Linked DNA regions of Drosophila melanogaster. The protein of the gene in region 3 interacts with the protein of the main gene of each other region in a pairwise test. Each region holds a gene or a part of one and is shown on either strand. Other genes may lie near its edges.

The links.
Region 1: the proteins of Uba2 (region 3) and Septin2 interact in a two-hybrid assay, tested with the Drosophila melanogaster proteins (one study listed by BioGRID).
Region 2: the proteins of Uba2 (region 3) and CaMKII interact in a two-hybrid assay, tested with the Drosophila melanogaster proteins (one study listed by BioGRID).

What each region holds. Positions count from the first base shown.
Region 1 is NT_033777.3:20,585,324-20,589,918, forward strand, and holds Septin2 (septin 2), read right to left. Parts: upstream 3,034-4,595; 5' UTR 2,949-3,033; coding exon 2,801-2,948; exon of another isoform or gene 2,680-2,800; intron 2,673-2,679; exon of another isoform or gene 2,547-2,672; intron 2,135-2,546; coding exon 1,023-2,134; 3' UTR 806-1,022; downstream 1-805. Other genes in the region: CG16953 (uncharacterized protein), read right to left, coding at 80-149; Srp72 (signal recognition particle 72), read left to right, coding at 3,502-3,613, 3,675-4,595. UniProt on the Drosophila melanogaster protein: Involved in cytokinesis.
Region 2 is NC_004353.4:1,048,155-1,053,006, forward strand, and holds the start of CaMKII (Calcium/calmodulin-dependent protein kinase II), read right to left. Parts: upstream 3,225-4,852; 5' UTR 3,189-3,224; exon of another isoform or gene 2,540-3,188; intron 2,456-2,539; 5' UTR 2,366-2,455; coding exon 2,301-2,365; intron 2,239-2,300; coding exon 2,144-2,238; intron 1,093-2,143; coding exon 1,033-1,092; intron 405-1,032; coding exon 350-404; intron 1-349. UniProt on the Drosophila melanogaster protein: A key regulator of plasticity in synaptic physiology and behavior, alterations in its activity produce pleiotrophic effects that involve synaptic transmission and development as well as various aspects of behavior. Directly modulates eag potassium channels.
Region 3 is NT_037436.4:8,124,816-8,129,840, forward strand, and holds Uba2 (Ubiquitin-like activating enzyme 2), read right to left. Parts: upstream 3,004-5,025; 5' UTR 2,890-3,003; coding exon 2,746-2,889; intron 2,692-2,745; coding exon 2,537-2,691; intron 2,484-2,536; coding exon 2,196-2,483; intron 2,140-2,195; coding exon 624-2,139; 3' UTR 512-623; downstream 1-511. Other genes in the region: mRpL36 (mitochondrial ribosomal protein L36), read right to left, coding at 1-223; Cds (CDP-diacylglycerol synthase), read left to right, coding at 3,444-3,554, 4,269-4,393, 4,637-4,733, 4,799-4,975.

The DNA.
Region 1 (4,595 bases), on a different chromosome or scaffold from region 3:
TTCTGGACTACCATATCCACACTGCACCAGCCATTAACCATTAACCACTACCCACTGCCACCATTAGCATTATCCATACCTGTCTGCAGAAGAGCGAGGAAAACCAGTGATGACGCTGCTGGCGACATGTTCGTCATGCCGATTGGCATTTCCCGTCCACTCGGCGGCGCTGGCTATGGAAAATCACTTGGGAGCACCCCTGCGGCGAGTCCCCTCCCTTACCATTAAATCGCAATCCAAACCGAGCGACAAACAAAATTATAACGAACAAAAAACAAACACAAAGGGGTATCTTGCTTTTTGCCAACGGATACACCCACTTTCATGGACTATTCTCTACGTTGAACACGGTTAATTGCTTTCGTTTGGGTTACGGAGCACTGGACTCCGTGATTGCGTCGAATTCGCTGCGGTGATTCTATTATTGCGTTTTTAATTTGTTCTATAATTTTTGCAGCCTGCAGTGAATGAGTGGGTAACAGTGTGACCAGGTGGCAAGCACAAGACAAGTAAAATAAGGCCGTACTACACTTACGTCCTACGAAAAGCCCGCCAATCTTGAAATTCAAATTACCATGTTTTTGTATTTAAAAAGCGGAGCTTAAAAGAAATTCAAGGAAAATATAAACTTAATATGTATTGATACATATCAATCAGTGACTTCTAAGGAAACCAGGATAATCTTAGATAAAATGTTATTTTGTTGTCTTTATCCAGCGGTGCCTTCAATACACACTTAAAAACACATTATATCGACAAAAGTTTACAATTTTTTGAATACAAGTTTCCGGCAAACAGCTCTTTTCTACTTTGTTAAAATACTAAGTTCGATTTATTCGTTAGTTGTAAATACATAATCATTATATGCCTGCGTACATATGCGTGTAGTTGTGTATATGTTAATATTTGAAGTAAACTTAATAGTACAAATGAAAGACAACGAGATGAGAAAGCAATAATTACTTTGGGATAAGCGAACCGCACAGAATTCTCAATACATTGTGAGGCGGCGGCGCCGGATTCTACTTCTTCTTGCTCTTGCCGAGGGTGAGCGTGTGGTGGGCGGTGGCCAACTGCTGCTTGCGCCGCTGGAAGTCAAGGTAGTCCTCCTCGAGCGCCTTGCGCGACTCTTCCAGCTTGCGCTTCTCCTCGGCGTGATCCCGCTTTAGCTTCTCGAACTTGGCGTGCAGGTCCTTCTCGCTCTCCTTCAGCTCGGCCTCCTTCTCCTTAACGCGCTGCACGAACATCTGACGAACCTCCTCCTCCTTGGACTGCAGCTCGGCCAAATGGTTGGAGCGCTTTGCCTCGAACGTCTGCTGGAACGAGATGGGCTTGTTGTCGCTGTCCACATCGCTGAAGCCCATTTGCTCCAGCCTCTTCTGGCGATACAGCTCGTAGTGGCGCGTGTGTGTCTTTTCGCGCATATCCTCCATGTTGGTGCGAATGAGCATCTCGCGCAGCTTCACAAAGTCGCAGTGCGTCTCGTTCTCCACCTGCACCGTGCCCCAGGGGTACTGGCGAGCGCGGATGAGCTTGTTGCCCACCTTAATAAACTCCGTGCTGCCCACCACGGCGAAGGGAATGTGCGAGTTCATGCTGGTGTTGGTCTCGGCCACCGTCTCATCGTCGGTGGGGAACTGGTAGATGTGCACTCCATTGGCGTTTAGCTCCTGAATGATCTTCGCCTTGAAGCGCTGTAGCTCAACCTTGGAAATGGTATCCGCCTTGGCAATCACCGGAATTATGTTCACCTTGCTGTCCAGCTTCTTCATGCACACCAGGTCCAGCGATTTGAGGCCGTGCCCAGTGGGGCAAATAAAGTAGAGGCAGATGTGGATGCGGCTGTCGTGGCATGTCACCAGCGATCGCTTGATCTTCAGCTCCTCCTGCAGATAGTTCTCGAACTGTGCGTCGATGTAGTCCACCACCGCCTTGAACGAGTCGTCCTTGTTGATCTGATCGCCGTAGCCAACCGTGTCGCAGATGGTGAGCTTGAGTCGCACATTGCTCTCCTGCAGCTCGTAGGTGTGTGCCTTCAACTTGACGCTCGGCAAAGTGTGGGGACTCGGCGTGGACTCGAAGCTGGTGTTGAACAGCGTGTCCATCAGCGTCGACTTGCCCAGTCCGGTTTCGCCTGCGGAGCGTAAAGATTTCGAAATGCGGGTCAGATTTGTGCCAGATTTGGGGAACCTTAGCCTAAGTGAGCTCAATTGGCCATAGAAGCACTGCGGCATTGGTGTCAGGGTGAAATTGTAGAAAGTGGCGGAGGCAATCGATTGCCGGCCACTTTGCATACTAATCGTATCTGGGCGTCTGGTTATTTCAATTGTTTACCCGCTTTTATGTACCTAAGTGATTCACTTTATCTGAGCAATGCACTCCAACATGAGACACTTGAGTACATAGCACAGCGGTGTTCAAAACAATAGCATCTTTATTTCAAGATGTGCTGTGCAATAGTCTTTGCTTTCAATAAATAATTGTATTTCTAATATGATTTTACTGATTTTACTCGTATTAAAGTTTAACAAATAAAAAGCACACACCTCGGTTTTTATTTCATTCTCTCTGCATCGAGCTACCACTGTATGTCCAATTTCTAATTGGTGTGCAAACAAAGCCATCTTTGAGTTAAGAAGCAACAAAAGTTTGAAACCTTCTCCAAGTGACTCCTTTATGGAATATAAAAAATCAGTGCTATTGCTTTGGTCACCACTGTTTTGTATGCAAGCAAAACTTCGGTTGATTCACTGTGCCGCATACACACGCACACACGCAAAGTTCACCCGCATATACACACCTATACACATGACGTTGAAGACGAATCCATTCTGGACACTCTTGTTGACCAGTTGGTCAGGCAAGCTGTCGAATCCCACGTGACCGGACTGCTTCAGGGTGCGGAGGTGCACCTCCTTCTTGTCGACGAAATCCACCTCAACGGACATTTTCCAATAGTCAAGTCAAATAATCCAATAATCCGGGCGCAGAGTTTGGATCAAAGGCGTCGCCAGCGAATATGCAAGTGTGGCCAGATACGCGGAGCCCAAAATACCAGCGGCTCAAAGAAGTGTGTGGATATAGATGAACAAGAAAATTATAACTTAACAAAGAATTAAAAAACAATTATTTAATGAATTACATGTGCCATAATGGCAAATAGTGAAACGAAATTGATAATCAAACAGTGAAATGCACTTCATGGATTAAGATTTTAGTACACATCATTTAGCGTTTCAGTTTTTAATAACTAATAATAAAATGTCCCATTCATAGATATTTATGCATAAGTTATTAATTAAATGTAAATAGTTTAAAAAATTAAATGTCTTAACTGTTTCCGCCATCTGGCATCTCTGGTTGCACACAGAAGCGATCTGGCAGGTCCGCATTGCTGATGTGTCTACAGCTGTAAAAACTTGCATGTTAAACGGAAAGTCGAAAGTTTAAGTCAGTGAATAAAATATATATTACCACCCACTAACGTGCTGAGCAAACAGGATGTCAAAGGACGCTAATCCCAAGGAGGCGCTCATAAAGGCGGCTTACGCTGATGTGAATAAGTTCGGCAATAACCAGGAGTTTGACAAGGCTGTCAAGGCAGTGAATCGCAGTAAGTTTTTCAGATTACCGAGGTTATAATCCAGAAGATGACTCCCTATGATCTCTCATAGTCCTAGGCGTAGCGCCCGACGATCCCACCGCCCTGCACTGCAAGGTAGTCTGCCTGGTGCAGCTTTCCAAGTTCGAGGAGGCCTACAAGTTTATTGAGAAAAATCGACTGTCCTCGCTTTTCTTTGAGAAGGCCTACTGCGAGTACCAACTTAACAAGCAGCAGCAAGCGCTTAAGACCATAGACGATGCGGGTCTGCAGCCCCTGCCTCCGAACCTTAAGGAGCTCCGAACCCAGGTCCTGTACCGCTTGGAGCGCTACGATGAGTGCCTAGACTCCTATCGCGACATCATTAAGAACACCAGTGACGAGTACGAGGAAGAGCGTCGGACCAATCTCAGCGCCGTGGCCGCCAACTTGGCTGTGGATCAGACCAAGGAGGTGCCCGAGGTGCCGGAAGACACCTACGAGCAGTACTTCAACAGCGCGTGCATCCAGGCTAATCGGCAGAAGTATGCTGAAGCCGAGCGCAAGTTGCGCACCAGCGAGAAGCTCTGTCTTGAGGATGAGTGTGCCTCCGAGGAGGAGATCATTGAAGAGGTAGACGTCATTCGCGTCCAACTGGCCTATGTCCTCCAACTGCAGGGCAAGACCAAGGAGGCGTCCAGCATCTACGCGGACTGCCTGCGTCATAAGCCAAAGGACGCAGCCCTGGTGGCCGTGGCAAGCAACAACTTGGTGGTGGTCAATAAGGACCAGAACGTCTTCGATTCCAAGAAGAAGATACGCGCTGCCCTAGCCGACGCCTGTGAGTCTAGGCTCACCTCGCGCCAGAAGCAGGTCATAGCCCTCAACAACTGTCTGCTAGCACTTTACACTAATGCCGGCGACCAAGTGCAACAGCTTAGCCAAAAGCTAGCTCAGACCTACCCGCAGGTGGAATTCGAGGCGCTGCTCATTCGCTGCACCCAGCTGGCCAAAG
Region 2 (4,852 bases), on a different chromosome or scaffold from region 3:
ATGTATGTAGGCATAGTCAAATTTTGCGATTGAAGCTCTAAATTTAAATTTAGGTTATATTTAAGTTGCGACAGCAGAAAACACATCTCTAATATAACAAAAATATATTGCGGCTAAAACTTGATTCATATTATATTATATATATTATATTGCGGCTTTAAAATTTGATTCATATTCATATTATAGTATGAACGAACGGAGGGAAAAGGATGAAGTATGAATCTCAATAAACAATAGTCGAGTCATTGCCACATTTACAAGCATTTGTTAGAAACTCATATTTTTAAAACACTTTTGGGGATAGGCAATTTAAATATTTGGTAAGGAGTCTATGCAGGTTAATGCTTACAGGTCAAAAACAAGGTAGTGATAGTTCTCCTCCTGTATACTGTCATGTAGCCGCACTGAAATTGTACATATTAACAATTTATTAGTTGTATACATTTGTATTTAATGTTTTTTTTTTACGGATGACAATGATTATAAGCCTTAAAGGCTATAAAAATATATGTTTATAAAATACATTTTGAACATATTATATATTTTGTCGGTGACGCTGGAGGAAGTGATGTTTCTAGATTTGAACTGTCCGTGTAAATAACTGTTTTGTTAGGTTACGCTTTTAGTGAGAGGAAAGTCTATTGCATGAGTTCGGTTTTTGCTGTTCTGCAAGTTTTTATAATTATTATAATTATAAATTACTTGGAAGATTTGTTATTGGAGAGTAGGGAGGGCGAGGAATGGAATGTTGCTTGCAGATGCGGATTGATATATCTACTAAACTCTATTTTATTTTTTTCTTCGTTGTGTTACCGTGGACGTCAAACCATCCTTTATCAGGATCACATTGCAAGTCATCAACACTACTGGGGTCTAAGCCGTGATTGAATGTACATATAAAAATTATGTATAGTAGATGTTCAAAGTGATATTAGGCCATGTTCGTCTACTTTTATGTAGATCATACATCTTCAGAAAAACGTATCTTTAAAGAATAAGTAAGTAAATTATATTTATATACACGTTGCATACCTATGTTGGGATGGTGTAACTTTCTGCAGATCCTTGCTTCACGTTCCAGTTTTTGAAAGTCTAAAAGCAAAAAAAAAAAATATATATATATATATATTATAAGCATCTCTTATATGCATACATGCATGTGTACAAATATGTTAATAAGAGGTTTTTGGCGAGCAAGCAAATGGTTCTCTCTAAGCCCAAAATTTGTCCCAGCTGTCATGCTCAAACTTCTTAAAAGTTATTTAATATATTTTTTGTAAATTACACACTTTGCCAATACTGCTATTCCAAAATTATTTTGGCCACGTCTTGGCAGTAAAAATTTATTAATTACTAAATAGCACAACACCAAGAAATACAACTTAATTACTGTAGAACTATTTGATACTTGTGTGGCAAATAGATAGGGACGACGAAGATATTACACAAAAAGAATGGTCCCTTCCAAAAGCGTACTTAGCAAAAAGAAAGTACATTTTACAGGAAAACTTTTTGACAGTCAATGTTTACTACTGATTTCTTACGATATGCCATATCGCCGTTGAAAAAACGGCATCAGATACCAGTTACTCAGCTAGTGTGAATGGGAACGCGAAATTTCATCATTTTTCTAGGATAACGATAGATATTGGGGAATAAAATAAGAAAAAAGTTTAAAAATTGGTCCAAAGTGTGGACGTGACCGGTTGGCGGCTTTTAAGCAAATCGATAGAAGTTAAAGGGCGTTAGAATGGGCGTGGCAAACTTTTTTTTGAGCAAATCGATAGAAATTTACAAGACCAATACAAATGTGAAAAAATATCAACACATTTTTCAAAAGTGAGGGCGTGGCGCATGTGGCAACATGGGTCAACAAACTTGCGCTGCGTATTTGTTTCTAAAATCTGTATGCCTTCTAGCTTGTATAGTTTCTGAGATCTCGACGACCATACGGAGAGACGGACTCGGCTATTGATCCTGATCAAGAATATACATACTTTCCAAGGATCAAGGATCTAGTATACCCTTTTACTGTACTCGACGAATTACCTAAAAACAGCACTTAGTTTCCCTACATGCGTGTGCATAGCATAAATGCGTACATATGTGATTTATAACCTACATAGAACACAGAAAGCCTTACCTCTGGCAGTTAATTTTTTTGTATTGATAATTTTTGCAGCAAATTCAAAGCCAGTTGACTTTTGGACACATCTTTTCACAATTGAGAATGCTCCTCTGAAATGTTAATAGACGGGTTATTATAATAAATTTATTAACCTTGAGTTTGTTAAACTTACTTTCCCAACTCTTCTTTGATGTCGTAATTGTCCGAAAAACGCGTACAGGCTGCTGGTGCAGCCATCGCGATGGCACACTTAAGAAAATCTATTGCGACTAAAGATCTTCAACTGCTCTACAGATTTCACTTTTCAGGAGTTTTATTTCTTGTTTTCTAAACGATTTTTAAATATAAGATAATAAATCAGTTTTACAAAAATTATACAAAAAATTGCTTACAACGTACAAACATACATACATTGTTGTACCATTTAGGTACCATGGGCCTTCTCTAAATATTATTTTGTTATAAAGTAATCACTAGCTGGTTCAAAAGTTTCAGACAGCGTTGGTTCTATGGTATCCAAAGGGGTACTGCATGTATTTGAGAATCCCCCGGCCATCATAGTATAAACTTGCATTCTTCTCTGTATAAGATCGGGCATGAAGCTCGTAAAGTAAAGCTCGCCAATGTAATTCAGAAGTATTCAGAGCACAGATTAGGTAACTTATTTCATAGAAACACATATCGGTAAAATTAAAAGAATGTCTCGCTATTCCAATTTTAAAATTCTATATTACTCAGTGGAGTCGATGCAAAACAGACCAGCAATCTACATATAGTTCTTCAAATTTTAAATGGTTTGTAATAATATAAGGGTTATGTTATTTTAAACAGCCGCAGGTTTCTTATTGAGTTGGTAATTCAAGTGAGTTCTCTTAAAGCACGTTGCTTAAACTAGAAAACTCGACCTCCATTTTGAAGATTTTGGTGGTTGAAGTTTTTTCATGTGATCATGAAATCATACGAAAAAACACCATACTTCGCAAGAAACAACATGTGCGGGGGCACAAATTGAAAAATGTCTGAAAATGTATTATCCTATCTCAAACGTTGAATCTGATACCTTGTTGTTGCCTAGAGATGACATGACATTCGATAGACGAAAAATGTAATAAACTCGATTATTAAACATAGGGGTCAACTCCTTACCAAAGCTACACTTAACTGTTCCCCATGCACATCAAAATAGCAAAGGTATCTACATATGTAAAACCATAACTCCGCGGTTAGTGCAGTGTAAACGGGCCTTACATCGATATGCATATCAACCACTCAGTGGCGTTTTCAATATCAAATTAAACTATGGCCCTGAAAAAATACGAATCCATTGCAGAATTAAAACAAGAGAAAACGCTATAGTAAAGCTTTTCGACTATCAGATAATTGTTACTCAGCTAGTGGAAGTATGAACGAGAATATTAAACATTTTTCTGGCGTACCGATTAAAATTGGCAAAACAATTTCAACAATTTTTTGAAAAAAAATAAACGAAAACTTAAAAAGGGCATGGCACAATCTTAACTTTCTAGCTTTTATAGTTCCTGAGATCGTGGAGTTCATACAGATAGACGGACATGAAAATTCGACTCGGCTATTGATCCTGGTGAAGACTATATATAGTTTAAACGCTCGGAAACGCGTCGTTCTGCAAGTTACATACTTTTCAACGAAGCTAGTGTGATAGCCAGCTGATCAAGAGCAGCAACAATCATTACTATTAACCTATATTACGTATTGAGTAAAGGAATAAAAAATGGAAATTATTTTTTCGTTTTACTTTCCAGTTATTATAGTTTCAGCGGTAACAGCGTTGATACGGACGACAGGCATGGGATAAAGCATGCAAATTTGTTTTCTTGAGAACCAGACATTTAATCCGCCTAAAACTGTAACTCCAATTTTTTTGAAAAATAATTTGCTTCTTTCAGTCTTGAAATCTTTTATTTCGATTTTGCCCACACATTTACAAAGTGTTTTGTTTTTTTGTTTCATTATTTTTATTTATTCTTTTATTTTGCACATTTCTGTCGGGTTGTTAAATAGTCGATGAACTACTGTCACGTTCTCTCTTGTTTTATACCTCTCCGTGAGGTTTGTTTTTTGCCATATCCGGTAACAGCGGTACTGTTAGTTTTTAGTTTGTTGTACGTGTTTTTTTAAAACTAGACCCAATCACCATGAAAAAGAAGTGTTTCCCTGGAAAAGGTATATGTAGACCCTTAATTGCACCCTCGCAATTTTGAAATAACATACTTATAATATAATATTGTCAAGTCAAATGTTACGAAAAGTTTAAAATTTGTGATCAAAACTTTATTATCTTTGTTTTAAACCAGATATATTTAACTCTCATTGACATATTTCAATCAATTAAAAAAAGCGACAGGTGTTTTTGGTTAATTTCTTAAAAAAGAAAATCCTGATTATGAGAATGTATCTGGGAAGCAGTTATATATATACGTACATATATATGTAGGTATGTATCCTTTGCAGGTTACATGCGTTGAAGCTTTTTTTGATGAGCTTAATGGTAAAACGCCCCACCCCTTTTAGCAAGGATATTTCAGGGTCTTGGAAATTACTTGTTGCAAATTATACTTTTTCATTAAATCATATAAACACGCGCTATGTACGCGAATTAAATATACTATTTGGATGAGACCTTCAGAAATGTTTTACTAAACCCATTTTTCGGACTAGGAGGGACGATATATAGAATGTGAAACA
Region 3 (5,025 bases):
GTCCCTTGACCTTGAATCCCGCCACCTGCTGGACCAAAGTGGAGCCAGGCGTCAGCAGACCCGACGTCTGACAGATTCCAGTTGTGGCGGCCACAAGTTGCGAGCTTTGAATTGATACAATTGCAGGAGCCGCCGGCCGGGTGAGAAGGTGGAAACCACGCGCGGCACTGAGACCATTCCACAAGCGGGAACCTTGTTGCAGTATTCTACTAGCCAGGGACATCTGAAATTTGCATTTTCATTGAGATTTACAATGAAAATTTGTAGAACAGCTCACCTTTTTCTGTTTTGGATTGAACTGGTCAGAAACCGATAACAGGCACAATGACTTCCAGTGCTTCGCAGCACTGGTTGGCGTTAAAAAGTTATCGAATTAAAAATTTGACTAATTTTAAATGTTATTTTATATTTCTTTTATTTAATAAAATTACATTTCTCGCACTGGATTATTTGAATTTAATCGAGTAGAGCAAAACCAAACCCGTTCAAAGCACAAAAATTTAAAAATTTTATCATCCACAAAAATGTGTTTTTATTTTAAATCAGAATGAAATTACAGGGAATCAAGAGCATAATTTAGTGCGCAGTTGAGAACTTATTCGAATAAAAACTTCTTTTTTTTATTAATCGATACTGATGACTGCCACGGGGTTCGAATCGTCCAGGCGGGAACGTTTGCACTTGGTTGGTCCCGCGGGTTCGTCGTCAGACGACTCCAAAATCTCGGTGATATCCTCATCCTCGATTACTTCACATGGCTTGCGCTTGGAGCCCGATTTTGGGGGACTCTGCACAGAGAGCTTGTCTGTGGCCACGACAACAACATCTGCTTGGTCTTCGTCTTCCTCGATTACCAGACAGTCATCGTCATCTTCCTCAACCACTTCGTTGGGCCGGCTGCGCTTCGAAGTGGAGGGTCCATCGTCCTTTGAGTCTCCTTCCCCGTTGGTAGAACGCTTCTTAGCCGATTTCGGTTCATCCTCCTTGTCTTTCACGGCCTCCTTCTGATCCTCATCCTTTGGCTTCAGCTGTGAGGCATCTGCTACGACTTCGAACAAGTTTTCATCGCGCTCCGCATCGAAGTGGGAAATGATAATACTCAACTCGTAGTTCTGGAAGAAGTCGTCGCACTTGAGGATCACACCATCCACAATGTTTAATTCGCTTAGGAGCTTGCCGTCATTGCATTCGGTCTCGCCCTCCTCTGAGGAGATTAAAATGGAGCCATTGCTCTGCACAGTCACATCCGGATTCAACATGTTGAGCGTCTTAACCAGGACCTCGTCACGCAGCTCCTTTATACGCATGCGCTTCGTATCGATCTTGAGAGTAATGGCCGGATCGCTGGCGCATACATGGCAATTGGGATTGGGGCCAGGAAGAGAAGCGTCCGGTACAAGGAAGTGATTTCGTGCATTTGGTCTAAGTCGGGCATAGACGGCCTTGCACTGCTCCCACTTGGCCTCCAGCACTTTGAAAGCCCGCATCACGGAAATTCCCGCCGTAATCGCATTTGTGGTGGCAATAGCAGGAATAATGTTTCCCGCCATTGACTTAATCTCGAACCTTGACTTTCGCTCAATGTCGAAAATGTGGGATCGCACGTTGGCGCAGGCCGCCACGAAATCCATGGCTGGCTGGTCGTCCTTGTCCCAAGCCAGAGTATCGTCGCCTTCGAGTTTCAGGAAGTTAGCGCTCAACTCTTTTAATGAATTGGCAAAGACCTGAGCGCACTCCTCGATGGACCACACCTTGTGATGCTGCTTGGCCACATCCTTCTGATCACCGGAGGATCCTTCGGGCAGCAGGGTATCCCACTGCACGGGCACGGGTGCCTTGCGGGTCTTCCACAAATTCGACATACGCAACAAATAGGTAATGTCCTCGTTAAAGAACTTGTTGAACAGCTTGCCCGCATCATAGTTGCAGTCCTTGGCCCATTGGCGAGTATTAATGCGCATTATGTTGCCGTTGGCAGTATCCTCCTTGGCCTCCTTTTCCTCTTTTGACTCTTCGCCTTTTTCCTTCCCATCGCCTTTGGGCTCGCCATTTCCATCGCCGCCGTCTTTTTCTTTTGCATCGGGATCAGCAGCATCAGGAGAAATATCCTCATCTTCCAAGGACTCACCAAACAGTTGACTGCAAATAAATCAATAGATTTGCTGCAATTTAGACTAATTATTAGGTATACTCACTTAAAGAGATGCTTGGCCCAGACAATGCAGTGAATCGGTTCGGAGGGCGTATTGCGTATGGTGCAGCCCGGGAAGCTTCGCTGTTTGTCTTTTGGAGTGCACTCGTAGCACTGGGTGAGTCCACGCTTGATCAGTTCCACCTGGCCATTGTAGCCGGCGGTGCCGCTCTCGATCAGCGGGACATCCGCATTGAGGCACATGCGATTTACATGATTCCTGGCGGCCCTGTTGTCCAAGGCGCTGAGCACCAAATCGAACTTCTTAAAGAAGTTGACGCCATAATCAGTACTAAAAGGTATGTGTTGTTAGCAAGATGTAAAGGCAAAGCTATCCCAACTTACGATGTTACACTGTCGTGGTAAGCGGTTATCTTAGCGTCCGGATTGAAGCTCAGTGCGCTTTCCCTAGCCACCCGTGCCTTAGATTTTCCAACGTGCTCGCGATGGAATAGGAACTGTCGGTTCAAGTTGCTAAGATCAATTGTGTCCAGATCGATCTGGGTAACGTTTATAAATTAATAATATGGAATACTTTTTTCGAAAAAACTTACAATTTCGATGTCTGTAAAGCCGCTAAGCACAAGGTTTTTGAGCACCTCGCAGCCGATTCCGCCGGCGCCCACGACCAGCACCTTGGACTTCTTTACCAGCTCCTGCAATGTGGGTGGGAAAACACCATTGATAGCTGCTGCCATTTTCTGAATTTACGTTTTCCTTTTTCTTATTTTTGGCGAGAAAATTGCAAAATTGCGATACGGAAAAGCCGAGAAAAGTGACGCCGCCGGTGCAGGTGTTGGGAAACGTATAAAGCTACGGATATTCTCTACCAGGGATGGCTGATATGGGTGACTCTTATTATCACTTAAATTAACTTTTCTAGTATTATTAATATATTTTATTTTACATATTACGACAAAAGTCACCGTTAATTGCACAGAAAAAGAAAGTTCTTTTAAAAGACATCAAACATTTTCTGTCCGAAAAGTCAACTTGTAAAACCTAACAGCAATTGAGCATACTTGCCAACACTTTTGCTCCACCAGCCCACTTTGCGCAAGCTGGGCACACTGCATGCTGGGCTAATCAGAAATAGAGAAAAGCATTTTAATTCGGACGAAGTCGACATACGGATCACGCAGCACGGGTCACGGCAAACGGCAAACGCGGAGAGCGGAACACGGACGAGAACTGCTCAAGCGGAATCAATAGGAATCAATACATTGTGAATAGATCTGGCGAACATCGAATAATGGCCGAAGTGCGACGCAGGAAGGGCGAGGATGAGCCACTGGAGGACACGGCCATCTCCGGATCTGACGCAGCCAATAAGCGCAACTCCGCCGCCGACTCCTCGGACCATGTAAGTAGCAATGACTTGTATGTGGAGCAGCCGAGCGGCAGCTGTTCCGGACACCAATTTGCATAATTCTTGGAGCATAGAAAAGCCAATGTGTGTATACCAACAAATGTGTGTGGCTATGTGTTTTTGTTATTCTCTGACGCACAAGCAGGTGGGAGAAAGAAGAGAGAGCTCTCTCCTGGAGAAAATCCAATAACAAACACAAAACACACCACTAGCCAGCCAGCCTGCCTGCCACCCAACCACCCACCTGCTGTGTTGCAATATAGCGCCATTATGACCAGCAAATCCAATTAGATGGACTACGCCAATTAGGGAAGCACTGGGCCAAGAACCCAGAGCCGAAACCATTACCATGACCAGACTCCCTTTCTGGCTTGGACTTTTTTTGTTATTGCTGGGTGATAATGCCTCCTTATCAACCAAGCTATTTGGCAACAAAACACGCCACCCAAAAAAACCCGCAATTTTTCTCCCCACTTGGTTCCCCTCTCTATTTTATGTGCCTGTGTATTGGATAAACGAGTGATTCTGATTATGGGTATATAGGCACATACATACACGTATCATGGACTTTGCTCGGCGTCGTCCAATAGAAAGTATTTAAACCCTGCACTCCGGTCGTATCGAATCTGATAGGAAACCTACTTTGCAGTCCCAGCCAATGCAATCAATAAGTGAATTTTCCCTTTCCCTTGCTCCTCCTCCTGCCAGGTGGACTCCGAGGAAGAGAAGATTCCCGAGGAGAAGTTCGTCGACGAACTGGCCAAGAATCTGCCGCAGGGAACCGACAAAACGCCCGAGATATTGGACTCGGCCCTCAAGGATCTGCCGGATAGGTATGTGAAACAAATCCATATGCGTAGTTGGGATCTTTAAAGATCATGATGAATAGCTAAAGGTCGATTTGGAATTGATGATTCAAAAAATATTTTATTGAAGTGCGAATTTTATAAATCCGACAGAATGAGTATGAGTGCGTTCCAAAAATAATCCATATCCACAGCTGTCTACAGTTGGCGAGCAAATATTAAAAGTAAATATGTACAATTACAAACAATTATTTTTTGCGCATTCCACAGATGGAAGAACTGGGTGATTCGCGGCATCTTCACATGGATTATGATCTGCGGCTTCGCATTGATCATCTATGGTGGACCGCTGGCCTTGATGATCACGGTAGGTTTAATGGAATTCGCTTAAACGAGTCTTCAAATAATCGTTGTCCTACTTTCTCTTTGCAGACGTTACTGGTGCAGGTGAAGTGCTTCCAGGAGATCATCTCGATTGGCTACCAGGTTTATCGAATTCATGGCTTGCCCTGGTTCCGAAGCCTTTCCTGGTATTTCCTGCTTACCTCAAATTACTTCTTTTACGGAGAGAATCTGGTAGACTACTTTGGCGTTGTAATTAATCGGGTGGTCAGTAAATAATACAATAACCTGATTATATCGCCTGGTAAATATGCAAT